Linked DNA regions of Drosophila melanogaster. The protein of the gene in region 1 purifies or fractionates together with the protein of each later gene. This does not show direct contact. Each region holds a gene or a part of one and is shown on either strand. Other genes may lie near its edges.

Region 1 (6,496 bases):
CCCAAAACCAAGTTTTAACTAATTGAATGTTTTCATAATATTCCAAAAATTGTCCTCTTTCTATTCTATGTATTTAATTTTATTTTCGCCGCTGTTTGACTTTATTATGTGTGCCGTATTCTTATTTTTGATTTGTCTATAAAAATATTTGCGATCTTTGCAATTGAAGTCGAACAAATTAACTCAGGTTTGTATGCGCAAATAATCAACAAATAATTTAAAGTAAATACTATGAGTAAATGCATTTACCATTTCCCATTTATTATTGTTCAATGGACCCATAGATATTTATAAAAAAAAATCCCTTTTACATCGCAAATATTTTTATTACACTATTGTAGTTCCTTCCCCAAATGCTTCCCTAAAAACTTGAGCTTGGAGAGCAAACTCCACCTTGCAAAGAACAACGAATGAAGATTACTCTTTTGTTGTTGAGACCATAAATAAAAACTATCGAAATAATGGAGTGAAAAAATATAAAGTGAAAAATTGTACAATATGACTTGTCGAAAACTCGTTCGTTACATTAACCATTCATGAGTTTACAAATGCATAATTAAATGTTTCTTTCTCTTATACTCGATTAACTTGTTTTATACACACAATAAGAAATAAATATTTTAACAAACATTAATCGTTAACTTTAATAATGACAATGAATGGCTTTTACCCCAAAACTTAAATCGAATTGAACTGAATTGAATGAATAATACAAACAAAAGTTTAAAAAAAAGGTGAAGTTTTCTCTCAAAATTGTTTTGGCTGCCTGGCACTTGCACTTTCTCAGTTGCTGCTTCAATATTTCTGATTTTGTTATATATTTTTTATTTACTTTTTACGTTTACTTTTTATGTACGTAAGTCTGAACCTGAATCGGTGTTCATGGCCAAGTCAAGACTGGAAAGTTTCCACAATTTAGTGTTAGCTTTATTTGTTTGTCACTGCCAGTTAAAACCATTTTAAAGTAACACTCTTCTTGGTTTAATCTTTTTCAGGACCTGGTCAATCGGATCTATAATTATTTCTCAACGCCATAGAAATCAATTATAGCAACTCAACAGCATCATAAAGAAATCGAAACGAAACTGAATATTAATCAGATTGCTTGTTATAGTTATGTAGTTTAAGTACCAGACACTCTGAGGATCGCCACAATCAAATAACTTGGGAACGGGAACAAGTTTTTAGTAAAATTTCTTTACACTAACAAACATCATTGTAACTGAGAATCGAAAGTTTTTATTGTTGAACGCGATTTGGTAGCAGCACTAAAACCATACAAAACAATTCTAACACAACTACGAAGCAAATAGCGAAAGCGAATATATACTAATCCTAAAAGTTAAGATAAAGAATGCAGGTGCAATGAGGTAGCAACGAAACGAAACAAAATCCAAGAAATCGACTATGCTTGATATGTATCCGGATAACACGAAAGCGCACATCAAACACGACTAATAATATATTAAATATTTTTGTTACTTGCGAACAATATTATTTCATTTATGAATATTATCTTTTGTTTGTCATCAATATTTATTATTTTACTTAGTTCGTATGCATACGAACGTTCTGCACATTTATTTGAATATTATTATTTGATACATAAATAAACTATATTTTGTGTTGTACAATTTTATATGCAGTAAACATTTTTAGTAAATAAAGAAGTCAAATCAAAAAACTTGTACTTGTTTGTATACAATATCGATGGAAATAAAACCGACGATTTGGCTCTTGAATACATGGCCCATACAAAAATAAAACACTTGTAGAGGTGCAGAGAAGCCAAGTGTAGCAAAACCTTTTCATACTGTTACGTTTTTGTTTAAATTCGTTACATGAGTATACATACTTCATAACATACAATATTTTCATATTTCATAGTTTGGACTTGCTGATCGATGTGTAACGCCAACTTTAAATTGTTAGCTACTAGCGTTACAATCAACTAACTTTTAACTCTAGATTATATACCGATATTGCATAGTCACTTAATTTGAATAGTTTGAAAAGCTATATGAACATTAAATGCATATGTTAAGTATGTTAATAGTTTACGTATTTACTATGAAAAACCTTCAACAGTAAGTTTTTATAGTTGGCATCGAGATAATTTCCATTTGTACAACTTATCCCATATGAGATCAGCAATATAATATGCTTAACAACTGAATATACAATATTTGTTTAAAAATAGCAACAAAACTCGTAGATACATTTTGTAAAGTTATTGTGTACAATATTGCTTGGCTAGGTAACTTTTATATATTTCTCACATACCATTTAAGTGGCTAGACTGTCCACCTGGACTTCCATCAGCTCTTGCACAATGCGATACTCATGACAGTCGGAGCACAGTAGGCGACCATTCGAACGGTTTGAGCGCTGCGCCTTCTCATGACAGACAATGTGCACTAGTTTGAGATTCTTTAGGGAGAATATTTCTAGAAAGTACTCCAGTACTGAGATATCGACCACTTGCTTCTTATGAATTGAACACTTGGTCTGCGGATGACTCACAAGTTCTTCCACATTTGCAACAAGTGCGGGAAGGATTGTGCGGCACAGTTCGATTTGGTGGTCCAGATTCCAGACCTGAAACAAAATGAGATTCTCACGCGAAGCGTACGGATTAATAGTGTGCTGCTTAGAGCAGCTGTTGCCATTCTCCGAATAGGAGCCCTGGCAATAGAAGTCACCCAAGTCGGAGCACAAGGAAGTGGACCATTCGTCGAGGATGCAGTTTTCCTTGGTGTACTCCCTAATCACCTGCCTCAGTCTCTTGCTGGGTATCCTGCCAGCGTCTGTTTCCTCGTCGCCCAAGTGCTGCTTCAGGAATTCATGCTTTTGCTTGCAATTCCGGTCAAACATCATGGAGAAAAAGTCGCAACCGATGAGCAGGTATCGAAACTTCTCCAGCACAGAGTTTATCACTTGTCGGGCCTTGGCATTTTGGCGGTACAAGGGATTGCGGGTCAGCTCCTCCTTGGCCTTATAGTAGTAGCCTCGCACACGTGTCTGGGCACGTGTGGCCATAGCTTCCTCCTTAGAGTGGAAGCGCTCCTCGCCGCCCGTGAACCACTCCACGTGCTCGGCCTTTAAGCTGAGGTGGGTCTTGCTGTTATCCAGGACGCGTCGCTGCTTTTGGTGTTCATACTCCGTTATCATGCGGCGGAACTTTTCCGGATGCTGTTCGATAAAATCGTAGAAAATGTCAGCCACCTTTAGCAAAGGCGATTGTTGTCGCATCTTCTCAAACTCAAAATCGGCATCTAATAGAAGACAGATTAATTGTGATTAAGTTAAATATTTAAACTGCAGCTCACCTGTTGTAATGACTGCATCCGGGCCAGACACTATGAACAGCGTCTGGGCGGGTAGGCTTTTTAAGTACTCATCGTCGGACACCTCGAAGCCATCAGAAGCCAAATACAAATGTGGCTCGAGAAGCTAAAAGGTAAAAAAAAAACGATTTAATTGTAATGCCCTTGACATGGCCGAATTATAACGAGGCCAGGTCGCCCAATTCCTGGTTCAGGGGCCTTCAGTTTGTTTCACATTTCTCTTTTTTTTTTTTTGCCAGGCAAGGACGTTCCATCAACAGGTGGTTAGCTCTACTATACAGGACATGCGCATTGGCATTTACTAGTGGCATTGAAAGAGAGCCAAACAAACGCGGAAGCCACTGCCAGGGACATGGCCTTGAAAATTACCAGAGCCAGGAACTTTCAGCCCATCTACGTGGGTGGGTGTATATTTCGCGCTTTTACGCAGGAGTTTTTCCTGTTTTTTTTTTCTTACCGGGAACTTGCTTTTTGCCTTGGCTATCAGCATTTCCAGGGAATTGGCTCCGATTCCGTATTTCCTCGTTCGCTCGTTGTCAGTAACCTTGTAGCCACGCATTGGAGCACCTGCTGTTCCCCTGGATTCGGATGAGCTCACATCCTTGAGAACTTCGCCTGTTGGCTGGCTGCTTTTCTTGTTATTCGAGCTGCTGCGTGTTGTCGGTGACATGATTGCATCTCTAATGTAGCTGATCATCGTTCTGGCTCATAATAAAGTCAACTTTGGAATGTAGTCCTCGCAGCAAGTTTCCTTATCCGCGGACAAAGCAAAATAAACTAGCAGAACAAGGCATTTTTCGCGCTTCTCAACACTAGATTCTCATTGAAAGATTCTTTAGTTGTGCTGCAATTTTAGCTAAAAATTGCAAAAAGCTATATAATAATAATTTATTTTTTCCCGTGTTTTGTAATTAACGAAATATTTTTTATATTTTTATTAATCAATTCAAATTGATAAAATTTTCATTTATTCTTAAATTAAATAATGTGTAAATTAATAAAATGAAAATAGCCAAATTAATAAAATACAAGTTGAACGGCGCATTTCCCACCACTATTGCCTTCAGTGTTTTGCAGCACTTATGCATCTAAAAACAGCTGTTCGGGTAATCATTTTTTTTGTTAAAAGTTTCTGTGGAAAAACTATAACAAACGTAGTCTTAGTGTACAATGATCTGGGCTACGGGCTCCGCGTAATCCGCAGCTCACCCGGAAAGGCGTTTTACGATGAATCTACGGCCGCGATGCCGCAAGTGGCTGCCCCTAGCCACCCAGCAACTTCGACTGCGGAACCTTAACAGAATTCAGGGATTCAATATTGAGTCCTGGCCGCATGAGAAGTCGCTGGAGCTAGATGATCCGGATGATGTGCTCCTCTACTACACACTACACACGGACAAGGCTAGCGAAGCGTTCTACACCAGCGAAAAGCTGCCGCAGCGTCACCAACAGCAAAAGTGGGCGGAGATTTGTACGGACGACGAGGCCTGGCGGAAAACCAATGCGCAGTGTGTCTGTGTCAAGGTGTGGAAGCACTATTCGGCGGAAAGAAGAGATGGCCAACCGCCTGAGGTTGAGCAAAGACATAAGGATGTTTTCGGGTAAATAGGAGACTTTGCTTGCAAATAGAACTCTGCTATCATCAACCAACTTACTTCCAGAAGATCCCAGTTAACGCCCAGCAGGCTGCCACGCCCTCCTGAACTACTGTTCAGCTGGGGCGTCTACTTCTCCGGCCTTATACCTCTGTCTCCCCTCACATTGTCCCAGTGCGGACGAAATTGCTTGGTCTTTCAATTGAATGGCGAGCAATTTGCCTCCCCGTCGATGATAAGCGAGCAGGCCTTGCAGTCGCAGCTGCATTTGCACTACCAAAAGTATGCGGAGGAAGAGAAACTAGAAGAGCCGCAGGATGAGGGCATAAACTCGCCGGCCGTTAGTCGTAGTTCGAGTCCCGTGCTGCGAATGAGTACGATGCGCTATGCACAGCTGAAGTGCCAACGGCAGGAGATTCGGCGAAGCAACAACCTCGAAAAGCTTCTCACGTTGCAACGTCTGCAACGCTTGCATCAGCAGAAGCGGCGTCAAATGGCCGAGGTTTGCCGAGAAATAGCCCGCCTCAGTGTACACTGTGTGACCAGGAACGAGCTGCGCTTGAAGCCCCGCACGACATCGCTGTCCGGCGACTACTCCGCCCATCAGTACCATTCCATGGGCCGCGCCCTGAGCGTGTTGCTCGCCGAGCAGCAGCAGATCGCGCCCCTCACGCTTTATAATGCCCAGCAGCTAACTAGAAGGATAGAAGCGCTAAGCAGTCAACAGCGGCTACTTAAAGCGGAGCGGGAAACGTTTCGCCAACGAAACGAGCGCACCCGTCAACTTCTGAAGGAGATGAGAGAACAGCGGGAGGCACAGCAATGGGAGCTCCACAGCCAGCGACATCGACTGGAAAAAGAACGTCTGGAGCTACGAACCCTGGCACCTCAACATCTGGAACAGCGCGATCAAAAAAGACAAATAGAACGGCAGGTGGGGCTGCGGAATCAAATAACATTAAACAAGTATATTAATAAACCTTTTCACCCTTTTAAGGTGGAGCGCCGAATGTCCACACTGGTGTTGGAGCTACAGGAGATCTATAACATCCAGAATGTGGGCGGTCGGCAATTTAGTATCTGCGGCATCGCCTTCCCCCACATGGAGCAATACACGAGCGAGTCACGTCAGGCGGCAAACGCACAGCTTCTGGATAACGTCTCGCCGCTGGCAGTGAGTGCGGCACTGGGTTATGTTGCCCATTTGGTGCAGATGTTAGCCATCATTATGGATCGACCTCTGAGGAACCGTATTCTGTACGAGCCATCGAAAGCAAGGATAGTGGACGATATCAAAGAGTTGACGTACACAACAAGAGAGTAAGCACACAGACTAAATATTACCTTTTGGTATCTTATTGTTCCATCTTAGATTTCCTCTGTATACACGCTCCATTTTGCCGTCGCAGCAAACAAAGTATGCCATCTACCTTTTGCGCCAGAATGTTTCGCAGCTGTGCTTCGACATCACGGGCCAGTGCGATCTGCGAAACACTTTTGGCAATCTGCTGGAGCTATTCAGCACTCTTCGCTACATCGAACGAACGCAAAGGG
Region 2 (6,250 bases), on another chromosome or scaffold:
ACTCTATATGCCTTTCTACAAAAACCTAGAATTTTAAGGTTTAGTTTTTTAAGGCTTTTGTTAACACATCTTGATTTTTAAATTACACATTCCTTTTTTCTCAGTGTTCTGCTTTGTTTTGAGGAAATCGTTAGCATCGCTCATTCATTCGAGCTCCATGGGCCATGATGAGTTCTCACTGGTTTCAAACTCGTCGCATTCCACACTTACACGTACTTATTAGCTAACTTGAGTCGGAAGACAGAGGAGCGCTTAGTTGCACGCTTGTCTGGACACGAAGAATGCCCGTTTATTTGGCTTAATGCGCAACGTTGCGTATACGCGATGTCTCAGTCACAGTACGACATATTCTGTTTGCTCTTCGTTTCTATTTGTTTATTTGTTTGCCTATCTCCTTGCTGATGTTGTTCCATGCGGCATGTCTGCTAATTTAATATCCGACCCAACTTTCATGTAAACCTCTCCATAACGAATGGATCAGGCTTTATTTTTAAACCATTTGCATTTGCAGACACCCACCGAAAGGTGATGCCCGTAGGTGGACTGTGGACCCCAAATGACTGTGACATGAAAAACACATTTGCGCGTTACGCCAGTGGGGAAAATGAAAGCTGGATTTTTCCTCGCCCAATGAGATTTGTTTTACAGGAATCTAATTTTCTGCCAGGACCAGAAGTGTTCTGGGCAACCACAGAATTTCCTTAAGCAAAATATTAACTAAAACTGCATGCGAAGTAAAATAATTTGGTACGCAGCCAACTGAAGTCTCTAGTAGGCACTGTTGCCGACTTAGCTCTTTTCCAATCAAATTTTCCTTTATTTCATATATTTTGATTTAGTTTCTGAACTGAATTCCAGCTGTTTTTTAAGGTATTCATATTTTCAAGTCAAAAATGTCTTTCTGTGTGGCAGCACTGCTATGAGTTTTCAGTTCAGCGGTAGATCTAAACCAATTTAACCTTGTGAGTAAACCAAACTGCAAATCAGTCATGGTAACCATCGAATTAATTGAACTATCTGATATTAAGTAGAAGAGATGCAAATTATTTTCATACCGAGAAGAACCTAAGGGCCAATACGTGAACACAGGATATTATTAACCCTACCTCACGCATTCATGTGTTGGCCTCTGACTACCAACCCTTTCCTTAATTTTCACTCTCATTTAGTTGTTTCTGGAATTAGTCAAAGGGATTATATCTCCAGGATTATATCATCCAGTGTTTTTAATCAGAACCTTGGCAATTTCCCCGAGAGCTCGATAAAGAAGATGCCCGTGTCAGATGGCAGACAAGATGGAGGCTTATTAATTAGCTGGAATGCGCATGAATTACGCATACGTCACGTGGCCCACGCTCACCCATCATCATCATCATCACCGGTCGGTTGCCACTGACAAATGACATCGCGTTTCGGCCACGTCAAGCCGTCAATTAATTGCTTTCGCCTGGCAAATTTACAGCCACTTGATATCTCGTAGACGCCGATCTTTTGGCCAGTTTATATTGTTATGGCCATCGCTCTGATGCCGTTAACACACAATACATCGATTAGGGTGTTCAGCTGGCGTGGCCAAGACACCTACTTATAGTTATCGCCGCCCACACAGACGCCACAAGGCGGCTTAGATGTGGGCGTGGCACTGGAGGCGATTGGCGGAATGGCTGGATGATTGGCCAGCTGGCTGGCCCACAATGATATACGAGACAATTGGGCGCCCGCATCCTGATCCCACTACCCTATGCAACTGAACAGTTTGAACATTTTAATTAAATTTTCATTGTTGACCAGCCACACAGGCAAAAAATTTGCAAGAAGCTAATCTGAGTAGAGGGTGAAATATGGTCTATACTATATTGTATTGATAGTGTTAGTGATTTACTGAGCATGGCTTACTATAAGTGGGTAATTGGATATAGGATCATCAAAATAAGGACATTCAAGTTCAATTAAGTTAAATCATATCAATACTAAACAGAATCGTTTTATTCTTGCAAGTGTCGATGTGTTGTATCTTTCACACACAGTTTTTAGAGTTAAAAGTTTCGTAAATAGGTAAACGGATGCGTAAATTGTTTCGTAAACTTTGCAGAATTGACAGCGACTATTTGTGACCCTAATCATTTCTTTCTGTGCTCCAAATTGGGCAGGGCCACGCAATCCTCACAATCAAATGGAGTTTGCCATGGTGAAGGCAGTGCGGAGTGGGCTGCTGGTAGGGCAAAAGGAAACAGCTCTGTTTTCCCGGATTTTTTCCCGCACCAACTCTTGCAGCGAATTGAAAAGTTGGACGAATGCTTAAAGGGCGAATAAAGCACCGGTAGCAACACTTCAGCAGCAGTGCCAATGTCGATGATGCCACTCAACGCCGAAGGCTTTGAAGTGGCCGTTCCGTCGGGGAACCCTTCACTTTGTTCGTCCTGACCGTCAAACTTTTTCCTCCATTTTCAGTTTAATTTTTTCTATTTTTTTTTTACTATATACCCATCAAGCGTAACAATAGCACCGCAGTAATCACTTAACGAAATGCTGGCCCAGATGACGGGGCGCCAGGTAGCGTGGCTAAATGCCACAAAGGACATGAAGGATGTGCGAGTAGCGAGTGGAATACCCACCTTGAAGGGCTTGCTGTTGTCCAGCTGGGCGAAATCCTCGTCGGCGGTGGTGGGCGAGGGCGTGGGCGTGGCGCTGCTGTGCGGCGATAGGGCCAACTCCAAGGTGATGCTATCCGCCGCATCGTCCAAACCATCGTCGGCATCTAACTCGATGTCCTCGCAGTCCGCGTCCAGTTCGGCCGTCCTTGTCAGAGTCCGCTGCCTGGGCGGCGGAGCCACTATTCTGCTATCAGGATCACACTGTACTCCTGCTGCAGCTGCTGCTCCATCGCTCTCCTTCTTCTGCTCCCTCTCCGGTTCCTGCTCCTCCTCAGCTCCTTGAGGCATTCCAGCCAGCTTTGTCTCATCCGCATTCATTGCTGTCATGTATTTACCTCGTCTCGAGAGTTTGTTCGCCTTGTCTGGACTCCTTGCTGCACTGGTTGAAAAACATGGTCGAAAGAGAAAGAGATTTATGACGAGCAAAACAAATTTAGACGATAATTGAAATATGCTGTATGGCATTCGGGGATGCTTTCAAAGCTGAGCCAAGCATACTAAAACTGCCAGACTTTGTGTTATTGTTATTTCATATACGCGTGTACGTTGTTTGCTTCGACCGGAAAATTTATAACGAAATCGTTGTTTGGCCTTTGTTTTGGCTTTGATTTAAAAAAGTTTTGCAATTGCTGAAATTGCTTGACCTTAAAGCCACATAGAAAACGAAGTTTATAGAGACCAAAAAAAAAAGAAGGAGACCATGGAATGTTATTGCATTACAATTTCACCATCGGCTCTTTAAATACTGTACATTTTTACCAACGACTTAAAAAAAATATCTACAAAATATTATTATTTTTTTAATTTTATATAGTAATGTAATTTGCACTATTTCAATTTTGGTGTCCTGTATTTGATAGTAAAGCTCCATATATGACGATGCAGAAACGTGTTTAGAGTTTTTCAAACGAATATAATTGGCCAACTTTTTTGTTTGGTAAAACTTCATTTAAATTTATAGAGGCAATTATAAGTCTAAAAGAATATAGTTTGCATGTGCTTGCTTGTTGTTTTTTATCATGAAAGCTAAACTAATTATTTTCCATAATTTCCACAAGCCTCTTTTAGACAAAAAGATAGTTGGTTTATATACTCTGAACTCTAGAAGCAACATTTTGTTTCTCATTACCGTGCACTTTAAGTTAAAAACCGAATTCTTCACATCTTCCGGCAACAATTACAATACGCGATTCTGGCTGAGATCGCGAGCCGACTACTCACAGCAGCCAAGTGCAACAAAAGCCGGCCGAACTTGGAATAAATTGCCAGACGTCTGTGCGTGCTGTATTTAAACGTGGCAGGACTCGTCGAGTTTGCCGACAGCCTCGGCCAGCGCAAACACACACGGCGCAAAGTCAGCAGGTCCTGCAAACACACAGCAAAGTCTAACCTTCGCGGAGCTTTGGCCGTGAGAGCAGGACACTCGCAAAGAGAGGCAAAGAGAGAGAGAGAGAGAGAGAGCGAGCGCTCTGTTAAGGCTCCTGTTAGCCAGGACACGCTGGGCGTGCCGGGCCAGAAGCATAGACCCTATGCCGGATAAAGTAAAGTTGGCACAAAAGAACTCTGGCCTGGGATCGGGATTCTATGACCTGGAAGGTGGGAAAAGTTTACTGGAGCAGCTGCAAATAGTTCTACTTAGCCGGGACCACAAGAAGATAAAAACGAATACAAACAGCACAGTGTATTTGCGGGGCGTGATGGCAAATATAAATATTTTAGCCTGAACTTTCAGGCGCTTAAGGGCAAAGTTTAAAAATGCAATAAAAATAAAGTTTGCAATTTCGGCGAAAAACTCTGGCGTCCAGCTGAAAAATGTCACTTCGGCATAATGAGACTGCTGCTGGCTGCATAATTAAAGCATCCCAGAGCTGGGCAAAAGTTTTCAACAAAGGTGCATTGCCTTTGAGGGCGAGACAAAAGCCGAGATTTATTGGCATTTGCATTGGCGGAATATTTAAAATGCATGAGACGCTGTACGTCGATCGAATTTGTTCGCATTGGGAGCAAACAAAGCCACTTAGCTGCATTTATCACAGCACTGGGCTTAAATGGCTGAAATATTGCGCATACGCCGCGTGAGCCAAGGTTAATTTGATTGCGCCCGCTTACGGAAGTTCGGCATTGAACATGGACTGAGCACGTGATTCCAACTGCAGTCACGTGATGGATAACAATATATCTGTGGGCCTGTTATCTCGTTTACGCATTTTGAGCCTGGTCCTTGTCCCAACTACCTGAAGTGCATACTTTAGGCCCAAGCGGATTCGGATTGCTGGGCGAATTTTGCACGCTCATCTGTTTATTCGCCCTGCTGGGCATTCATTTCCGTCCGCCATTTTCCATTTCCCATTTTCCCCCGCCGGCGGGTCAAATAATTTATGGGCCATGGTCCGCTAATTGCGCATTGAAGCGCGGCGCGAACAACTATTCGCATTTCGCATATGCAGCATGCTGGTCCTGCTGCAGGACCTCCATCGCCATCAATTTAAATGCATAGGTGCAAATTGAAATTTATGCGTCTGGTCGCGAAGGTAAATTCCCTTCATCATCAGCTGCCATGTTTAATTGCGATGCACGACCTTGGCCGTCTGGCCAGTTAGATTAATTAACTCACATGTCGTCGGAAAGGTCATGCCGCCGCATGTGGCGATGATAAATGGCCTCTGATCCTGGTCCTTGGATATGTGGCACTTTTCGCCAAAAACTCGTCAGGCGAAAAACACATAAGGCAGTGGTACGGGTAAATGCCAAATATTTGCGCCTGCTGTCAGCAGTCTAAATGAAATTAAATGGAAAAAAATAGCATTTCGATGCGGGGCAAACCAAAAATGTATAAAAGAAAATGGCAAACATTTTAATTAAATTAAAATAAATGTGAAATGGAAAATAATGAGAGAAAAAAAGCACTGGCATCGACCTTGCCGCCATGTAACAAGCAATTACATTTCCCCCCCTTAATGGCATACTTCATTATTTTGTGTATTTCCTGTGTAAGGATACCTACGTGCAACGGTCCTGGCCATAATTGGTTTAATGGCCAGCAAGCCTGTGCGTATTTGCACTATATCGGTTAATGGCTTAATAGCGCGGCTCTACATCAAACATGCAGTACAGTGTACAGTCGAACTGCTGCTCGACCTGCTGACATTCACCCAGTTGATCCGGCACTAGGTTGCCCTTCTCGGCGAGGCAATCGCTGATGCACTGGCTGCCCAATGGATGCGCCATCTCCCCTTGCAGCTCCTTTAAGCTGGCTGCCACATCTGCACCCTGCTGCTGCTGCTGCTGCTGCGGCGGCGGCGAAAGGTCAATCGCCTGTGCAGCCAGCAGCACCAGCAACTGCATCACGATAAACAAAACGGATAATTTCATATTTGTATTTGCCAAACCTGTCTGAATTTTCATTACTGACAGCTTGTTCACTGTCCCAGGGCTTGCTGCACTCAAGAAAAAAATGTAGTAAGTACTTAATATCCATTTAGCTGAAAAACTAAAGTTAATGTGAGTAGAAACAATATTTACCAGGTACGAAAATAATAATTCTATCATTAAGTTATGTTGTATGCTACAACCTATGTATAACATAGTAATGATAA

The links. Proteins that work in one complex are often made in the same cells at the same time.
Region 2: the proteins of Drep4 (region 1) and Drep3 fractionate together in Drosophila melanogaster (co-fractionation; 2 studies listed by BioGRID, with this or other methods). This does not show direct contact.

What each region holds. Positions count from the first base shown.
Region 1 is NT_033779.5:13,282,366-13,288,861, forward strand, and holds Drep4 (DNA fragmentation factor-related protein 4), read right to left. Parts: upstream 4,098-6,496; 5' UTR 4,045-4,097; coding exon 3,805-4,044; exon of another isoform or gene 3,587-3,804; intron 3,461-3,586; exon of another isoform or gene 3,454-3,460; coding exon 3,330-3,453; exon of another isoform or gene 3,276-3,329; coding exon 2,287-3,275; 3' UTR 1,547-2,286; downstream 1-1,546. Other genes in the region: Uvrag (UV-resistance associated gene), read left to right, coding at 4,575-4,948, 5,009-5,876, 5,940-6,262, 6,315-6,496.
Region 2 is NT_033778.4:12,052,752-12,059,001, reverse strand, and holds the start of Drep3 (DNA fragmentation factor-related protein 3), read right to left. Parts: upstream 3,914-6,250; 5' UTR 3,784-3,913; intron 3,034-3,783; exon of another isoform or gene 3,029-3,033; 5' UTR 2,982-3,028; coding exon 2,616-2,981; exon of another isoform or gene 2,455-2,615; intron 1-2,454. Other genes in the region: CG44314 (uncharacterized protein), read right to left, coding at 5,733-6,026.